2 linked regions of the Arabidopsis thaliana genome follow. The protein of the gene in region 1 interacts with the protein of each later gene in a pairwise test. Each region holds a gene or a part of one and is shown in the gene's direction. Other genes may lie near its edges.

Region 1 (4,099 bases):
TGCTATCACCCTTGAAGTTGCCTTCTTCTTGTACATTTTCCGAGTTTCCACAGAACAAGTATGGTCTAGTTTAGCTTTGCGTATCTCATAATATCCACTCTCAGGCATTTCATGAGCTGTTACCCGCCAATCACATTTCTCATCGGCACAGTTTAAAACAAATGAATCAAGTTTTGTGCGTGTTTGTTTGAAGTGAAACATATGCCTAATAGCATATATAGCTAATCCAATTTGGCAATCCGACTTGCTAGCATAAACTTTTCCTTTATATACATCTTCACCGTCAGCCCTATCTATATCCGGCATTATGGCAGCTTCATACTCCGTGTCATCAAACAGAGGAGGAATATCAAACTCTTCATCGTCCACATCCGACAGCTTCCTATTTTCTCTTGCAGTTTCATTTGTATTACAATCACCTGTTCTATTGTTAACAACTTTTCCCGTTCCACTGCTGTTTGCAAGTAAATCAGTTGGATGCTTAATCGAAGACGTTATCAAATCATCAATTTCCATGTTCGAACCTGCACCTTCCACACTGGCCACCAATTCTGTGTCTACTGTTGGTGACGCAAATCCCATTCTAACATCAGCATCTTCTTCCCCGACACATATTATATCCAATGCATTTGAGCCACCCATGTCCTCATCCAAGAATGGGCTCCAAAACTCCACATCATAAGATTGGGGTTTTACTTCTATAATCTCATCCCAAGTAAGATCTTCGCTTCCTTCATCCACTAGATCTTCATCATCAAGATCTTCAGATAAAATTTCACTAACAAGAGGACCTCGTTCACAACCTATAACTCTTTCTATAGTTTCAAGTTCTGCAACAAATTCTTCATCTTCGGAGGACAGCAAAAATTCTTTCAACCCGACCTTCGATATACTATCTTCTGATCCACATAAACGTTTCGACTTATTCCCTCTTCCGTCATCTTCCTTAACTGAACTGGTCTTCACTAGCCCACCGTCAACCTCAGAATTGTTTAAAACTCTTTTACAAGATGTTCCAAACTTTACAAACATGTTGGTTCCAACATTTGCTTCCAATATCTTCATAAAATAACTTAGCCCCACATCAGTCGTCACGACGACCGGTGGTGTTTTATCTCCGGTGGTAAAATCTCTTATATTTGGGGTACAGAAGCTTAAATCAACCTTCGTACTCGTTGAAATTCCAAATTCTACTCTAATGGCTTCCACGAATTCTGATAGCTTAATACCTTTATATACAGGCACAATTCGAGATTTCATTACCTTATTAACCTCAACATACCACTTCTCATCCTCCTCGCAATTCCAATCCCCGCATATTACATAACAGAAGCCATCCTCAGTTCCCTGCAATATATAAATTTTTTATCTTAGACAGTCAATAATATATCAGCGAATATTTTCTACTATTGTTACCAATCCATTTTTTCTTACCATCGTTATGATATCTTTGTTAGTTGCTTCAAACTTCAGAGCTTCTCTTTCTTTTGTTCATCGTCATTCAAACTTCGATGACATAGTTATTCGTTCCATGCTTTCTCCGGTTTGCAAAAACAAAATAAACCGGTTTCCCCAAACTCTTACCCTAAATAACCGATTTTACTTGATTTAATTAATAGGGTCAATTAAGTCTTTTTCCCCCTTATAATTGATCACCCTTATAATTGATCAGAAGTGTGCCTGTCGGCAAAACTTTTGCTCAACATGTTTTCGAAAGTGTATGATAATGCAAATCACCCTTAAAATATAATATGGTAAAATAATTTGGTGGTGTTAGCTGAATTGGTTACGATACAAACAATGGTTTGGGTGGTTGATTATACAAGAAAAAAAAGACAATGACTTTGAGTCTTTGATTTACAAAATCATGGTACAATCTAAAACCAAATGGGTAAATTAAATTGTGTTATTGGGTAGAATTGTTTGTTCCAATGCAAACACATATTTTTTTAAAAGTATAAAATCATCGTTAATTATAAATGGGCCGATTTGACCCAATAAAGCCTTGATAAACCGGGCTAAGCCGTCTGAAACCCGACCCGGGTAGTTCTAACTTTTTGACCCTAAAACGAAAGACCCTTCTCTAGCACGTCGGGGTTCGTTCAAAGATCAAGATCTGCAGACATGGCGGACGAAGCAACCAGAGCTGTGAGTACCTCTCTCTCTCTTAAATCAGCTCAATTTTCTAGTGGAATATTCTTCTTTCCCCAGTAAGATGTTGCAGAAAATGGAATTGTAATGTGTATAGTTACAACAGGCTTTTATGGAGATTCAAGCTAGCATGATTGAACTCACTGGGAAGCTCAAACAGGTGAATCCTCACTTTCTTTGTATTTATCAAGTTTTAGAATCAAACGTGACACATTGTATAAGGGTTTACTTGTAATTTGTTAGTTCTTGAACTGTGTTTGGTTTTATAATCCCTTCTTTCATGTTGTGTAATGACAAAATTGGCTTTCCTAGGTTATTGTCATGTGGTGCTGAAAAACTGAAATGTGAATGTGGATGGGTTTTATATATAGGTGCAGAATCAGATGCGCAACAAAGAGGGAGATAGAAAGCGAGCTTTCTTAACCTTGGAGGAGCTGAGGCCATTGCCTGAAGAGACAAACACCTACAAGTCAATAGGCAAGTGATTCAATTCTCTGGTTTTGAGACAAGGACTAGTAAAGTTTTGGTCTAATTTGTGTTTTATTCTTGTTTTCAGGAAGAACGTGAGTGGTGGTTATTAGTCAGTCCAACTAGAGGCCTTTAGAGAATTTTGAAGGCTGATTATAGTTTGTATGGTGAACAGGTTTGTTCTAGAGCCCAAGACAGTGCTGGAGGGTGAACAAGAGCAAAAACTCAAGGACAGTGAAGCTGCCGTTGCTTCTCTACAGGTAACAATCATTCCCTCTTTCAACATCTTATTGGGTTATTAGGAGATCATTGAGATGCTGGTTATCAAACATGTTTTGTTTTCGGGATGATTTTTAGACATCCAAGGAATACTTGGAGAAGCAGGTAGCAGAGGTTGAGAACAACTTGAGGGAGCTGTTGCAGCAAGAACCGGGCATTGCTCAACAGATTATGTCCATGTCTATGTAACTTTTGTATTATCCCAAACCTTTGAGTTTGGAGAGCTTTTGGGATTGAAACCATAACATGTTCTAGTTAAAAGTTGTAACATTCAAAAGTTTTTGTTCGATCAGTATTGTTTTAAAGCCTCTGGTCTATGATATTGCAAAAAACTGAGATTTCTTATGCGACAACAAATGCATGATCTATCTAACTCGAAAACAAAAATTTTAACAAGGATGAGGTCTCTCTATGATTCTTCGGAGAGAAAACTCAATCCTTGTTCCACCGTTCGGTATGCTTACCGGCTTTCGTTGTCCGGATGAGAAGACTTTGTTTCCGGTGTGGTCTGGCTCTGTTTTCGGTGTGATTCGGCTCATATTTCGGGTATTTGTTGCTAAAATGGAATTCGCTTTGTTTCTTGAGGGAAGATTAGGATAAGTCGATTGAATAATTTTCCGGCGATCTTGGCCGGAATTGAAGCTTTCTGATCAACGGAGACTCTCACATCTTCAACTTTGCATGTGTCTTCTAACCTGCTTCCTGCTTGCCACATGTCTAATATAATGCATTTAAGCTTTTCCTTCAGCTTTCTTATTGGACTTTGTTTTCTTTTGTTTGGCTTCCTTGGTTTAGTGTTTGTAAAATATTGGCATGTTACTTTGGCTTTCTATACTAAATAAAACACACTTTTGACAAAAAAAAAAAAAAAAAAAGACTACAACTCGAGATTGCATCTAACATTGTGAATATATATAAATTTAACCTCACAATCTAAACACAAGTAGATGTAATATATATTATGAATTCAGTGAAACAATAGTTAAAACTCAAGTTGATCAATCATCAATAGCATGTGAGCAATAAGTGTCAAAAGAGATACACATACACATCAAACCCCAACAAATACATTCCTTCATGTACACTGATTTTACACTACCTCTTCAAGGAAATCATGGATCATAATGTCTATTGGCATCTAAGCAAGTCCACTTAACATATCCATAGTGTGTTGGCTTCTACGTCTAAAGCCGTTCCCCAA
Region 2 (3,889 bases), on another chromosome or scaffold:
GTTTCTTCAGCCCATTGTATTCGAGAAATTTCAAGAGAACGATTCTCTTCGCTGTGATTTTCTTAGCTATCTTCCCTCCTCTCTACTTCCATTTCAAGCTCCGACGAATTCGTCAGATTGTCGCGCAAAAGTGCGATTGGCTTCACCATCCTCCACTTGTCTGTGCTCACGGCGGCGATTCCACCCTCGCTTTCCCAAACACTGTACGTACACTCTCGATCTCTTCTTCTTCACACTCTTGCTACTAACCTTTTTAAACCTTAATCTCTTGGACTCTTCTCAATCGTAGATGGACGCTTACAGTTTCGCTATACGTTCTCGAGTTGATTGCATTGAAGTCGATGTTTCTCGTTCCTCCGATGGTGTTTTATTCGCTCTTCACAACAGGTTACAGACTCTGATCCTTGTTGTATCATCTTCTTCTAATGTTTCTGTGTTTGGATTCTCATCGGTGTTCTTCTTATTCATCTTCTGATCACACGCACAGTCAGGGATCTGCAGCGTATTGCTCGTAACTCTTCTGTTCAAGTTGGAGATCTGAGTATGAAACAGGTCTCATCTCTCCCTCTCTCTCTTTACCAGCTTTTGGGATATGCTTTTTTGCATCCATTTTTCATAAACCTTTTGATGATCTTTTTGCAGATCAAGGAACTCGATGTCTCGGAGATTGTTAAAGGAACCTTGGGAAGTAGTAGGATTCCTACTCTTGAAGAGGCTTTAGCGGTAATGCCTGTTTTTTTAATTACTATCTTGTCATTGCTTTGCTTTGTAATTTCTGCTTAGTAACAAGTGGCTGAAGCTAGTTTTGATCTTGAATCATCTAGTTGATATCGAATTCAGTCCGGAAAGTGATCCTTGATGCCAAAGTTGGACCGCCAATGTATGAAAAGGGGTTAGCACAAGACATCCTTTCTATTGTAAGTACTATGTTTTTGTTAGCTCTTGTACTTGTAAAGCTTTAGTACAATGTGCTCGAGATTTATAAACATGTTTTGATTCCTTAATAGCGTTGCTTAATCATTTATTTCCTGGTATCTTTGTACACAAAGCTAGAACAGCTTACTATAGATACTTGAAAAAACAAGAGTATGGATAAATTGTTGATGTTTCAATGGTGGTATTTCTGGCTTTGCTCACATGAATCGCCAATCCTCTGTTGTTAGATTGAGAGAGCGCAGTGCAATAATTGCATCGTATGGGCCAAAAGCGACACTTTGGCTAGGGACATAATTAGACGAGCACCAGATACTATGGTAAACAGAAATGGATTGTCTTGTGAGGATCAGATAGAGAAGTTTCTTGCTCATTTCCTAGTGATTTTGGCAGGTGGGATACATTGTGATGGTAGATCCTTTGACTGGGGCGAGAAACAGCCTGCTGAGAATGAAGGGAGCTAGGGTTGTGGGAGTTTATCATCCCTTGATCGATGAAGAATTAGTTAGAGTTGTCCGTCGGTAAGCAATCGATTTCAATGTTTTCAAATAAAAACACACCTGCTCATGTGTTTACAACCTTGCTCGATCTGATCAACAGGAGAAACAAAGAGGTGTATGCATGGACTGTGGATGATGCTGATCCCATGAAAAGGATGCTTCACTTAGGTGTGGATGCTGTTGTGACGAGCGATCCATCTATGTTTCAGGGTCTCATGGAAGATCTTAGAACTGAGTGTCTTGAAGAAGGTTTTTCAATACGGACGTGAGAATTTCTTTTTCGAGCATTCTTAATGACTGTAATACCAACTCAGAAGTTTTTGGCAAAGATCTTTCTTTATGTTGTTTTGCTGATCCACAAGTTTTTGACAACTACACACTACGACGCCTTGATACACAGTAAGACGAGTCTTTCTCAAGAAAAGCAAAGTATGGCCGGTTCTTGATGAAGCCATTGCTTCTATCGATACAGCTACTGATAATCTGATCCAGGAGACTCTGAGGCAACACTTTTCGGACTGCACAGTGAAAACAATCTCACACAGATATCTTCTTTTATACATAACGATATGAGCCTGCTCCTAGAACAAGGTCTAATACACTTGTATTTAAGTTTAAATAATCAGATGACTGATATTAAGTCTGTTTATATAATATGGATAGAGAACGATATGATAAGGTGATTGAAGCATGTTCTTTGAGTAAAGATCTGGAGATACTTTCATTCGGTGATCAGACCGTCATTGGAGAACGCGGCATCAATTTGAGTGGTGGACAAAAGCAAAGAATACATATTGCACGCGCTCTCTACCAAGATGCGGACATCTATCTGTTTGATGATCCTTTTAGTGCTGTCGATGCACACACAGGGTCACATCTCTTTAAGGTACAATCTTCTTACTTAGCCATTAGTGTGATTGTGATTTCTCCTTCCGTAAACAATCATGTATCAAATTTATTTTCATTCTCATACTTTTTTCAGGAAGCTCTACGAGGGCTTTTATGTTCTAAATCGGTTATATATGTAACCCATCAAGTTGAGTTCTTACCTTCTGCTGATCTTACACTGGTATGTGAATAGTTCACTGTCTTTTATCATTTTCTACAGCACTGAGAATATGAAATCATCCATAACCGATTTTCTTATGCCTCAGGTCATGAAAGATGGGAGAATCAGCCAAGCTGGAAAATATAATGATATCCTCATCTCTGGAACAGATTTCAGGGAGCTTATAGGTGCGCATCAAGAGTCTCTGGCAGTAGTTGGGTCGGCTGATGCCAGTTCTGTTTCTGAAAACTCAGCTTTAGACGAAGAAAATGGTGTTGTGAGAGATGATATTGGTTTCGACGGGAAACAAGAAAGTCAAGATCTGAAGAACGATAAATTAGATTCTGGGGAGCCCCAAAGACAATTTGTTCAAGAGGAAGAGAGGGCGAAAGGTAGCGTCGCTTTGGATGTATACTGGAAATATATCACACTGGCATACGGAGGAGCTCTTGTGCCTTTCATATTGTTGGGGCAAATTCTCTTTCAGCTTCTACAGATTGGAAGTAACTACTGGATGGCTTGGGCTACTCCTATTTCTGAGGATGTGCAAGCTCCTGTGAAACTTTCTACGTTAATGGTTGTGTATGTTGCTTTGGCATTTGGAAGTTCCCTCTGCATTCTTGTTAGAGCCACGCTTCTTGTCACGGCTGGTTACAAGACTGCTACTGAACTGTTTCATAAAATGCATCACTGCATTTTCCGTTCTCCAATGTCTTTTAAAATTGCAAAAACTTGTTCAAAAACTTGTATATATTCATCATAACTATATCCAAATATGTATTATATTGACAGAAAGAAAGAAAACAAGAGAAAATAAAACATAAAAATAATCCATAATGTCAAATAAAGAAATTACAATATACTTAAAATAAATAAATATCTAAACATCTTTTTTTTAAAAATATTCTTTTTAACTTACATATAATATTGTTAAAAATTGAAAGTATAATTAACAACATCAAAGCATCAAATTTGAAGGAGAAATCATTGTTGGCAAATACGAAATCGTTCTTTGTCTAAAAAAAGAAACTTGATCTTGACGATTTCTGATATTTGAAAAATAGGCAGCCGCTAGACCAAGCATCCAAAACTTTTCATGTAATTGGTTGGTTCTTATAACGTCAATCTTAATAGAATATATTTTCTCCCATTTTTCGGTAGGATATTCTTGGTGTAAACTCCAAACGACCAAATTTGAACTTTCTAGCACATCCGATAGGCACAAACGTTCATTCAGATTCCACATTTCTATATTAGTAGCATATTTGGTGTCACACTCTGGTAATAATATCCATCGAAATTCTTCAGTGTGAAGATCGATAGCTAATAGCTGGTAAGATGTTTGACTAAGCTTCTTTAATGTCAACCAAAAGAGGGATCCGTTGGCGTAGACTGATGTTTGCTCATC

The links.
Region 2: the proteins of PFD1 (region 1) and NAP5 interact in a protein complementation assay, tested with the Arabidopsis thaliana proteins (one large-scale study listed by BioGRID).

Annotation. Positions count from the first base shown.
Region 1 is NC_003071.7:3,043,520-3,047,618, forward strand, and holds PFD1 (PREFOLDIN 1), read left to right. Parts: upstream 1-2,003; 5' UTR 2,004-2,124; coding exon 2,125-2,148; intron 2,149-2,257; coding exon 2,258-2,311; intron 2,312-2,522; coding exon 2,523-2,628; coding exon of another isoform or gene 2,629-2,632; intron 2,633-2,707; coding exon 2,708-2,714; intron 2,715-2,794; coding exon 2,795-2,879; intron 2,880-2,976; coding exon 2,977-3,087; 3' UTR 3,088-3,385; downstream 3,386-4,099. UniProt on the Arabidopsis thaliana protein: Binds specifically to cytosolic chaperonin (c-CPN) and transfers target proteins to it. Binds to nascent polypeptide chain and promotes folding in an environment in which there are many competing pathways for nonnative proteins.
Region 2 is NC_003070.9:26,883,369-26,887,257, reverse strand, and holds NAP5 (non-intrinsic ABC protein 5), read left to right. Parts: upstream 1-2,088; coding exon 2,089-2,319; intron 2,320-2,415; coding exon 2,416-2,502; intron 2,503-2,587; coding exon 2,588-3,244; downstream 3,245-3,889. Other genes in the region: GDPD4 (PLC-like phosphodiesterases superfamily protein), read left to right, coding at 1-203, 290-387, 492-552, 643-723, 825-917, 1,164-1,253, 1,327-1,454, 1,534-1,702; AT1G71320 (F-box family protein), read right to left, coding at 3,440-3,889.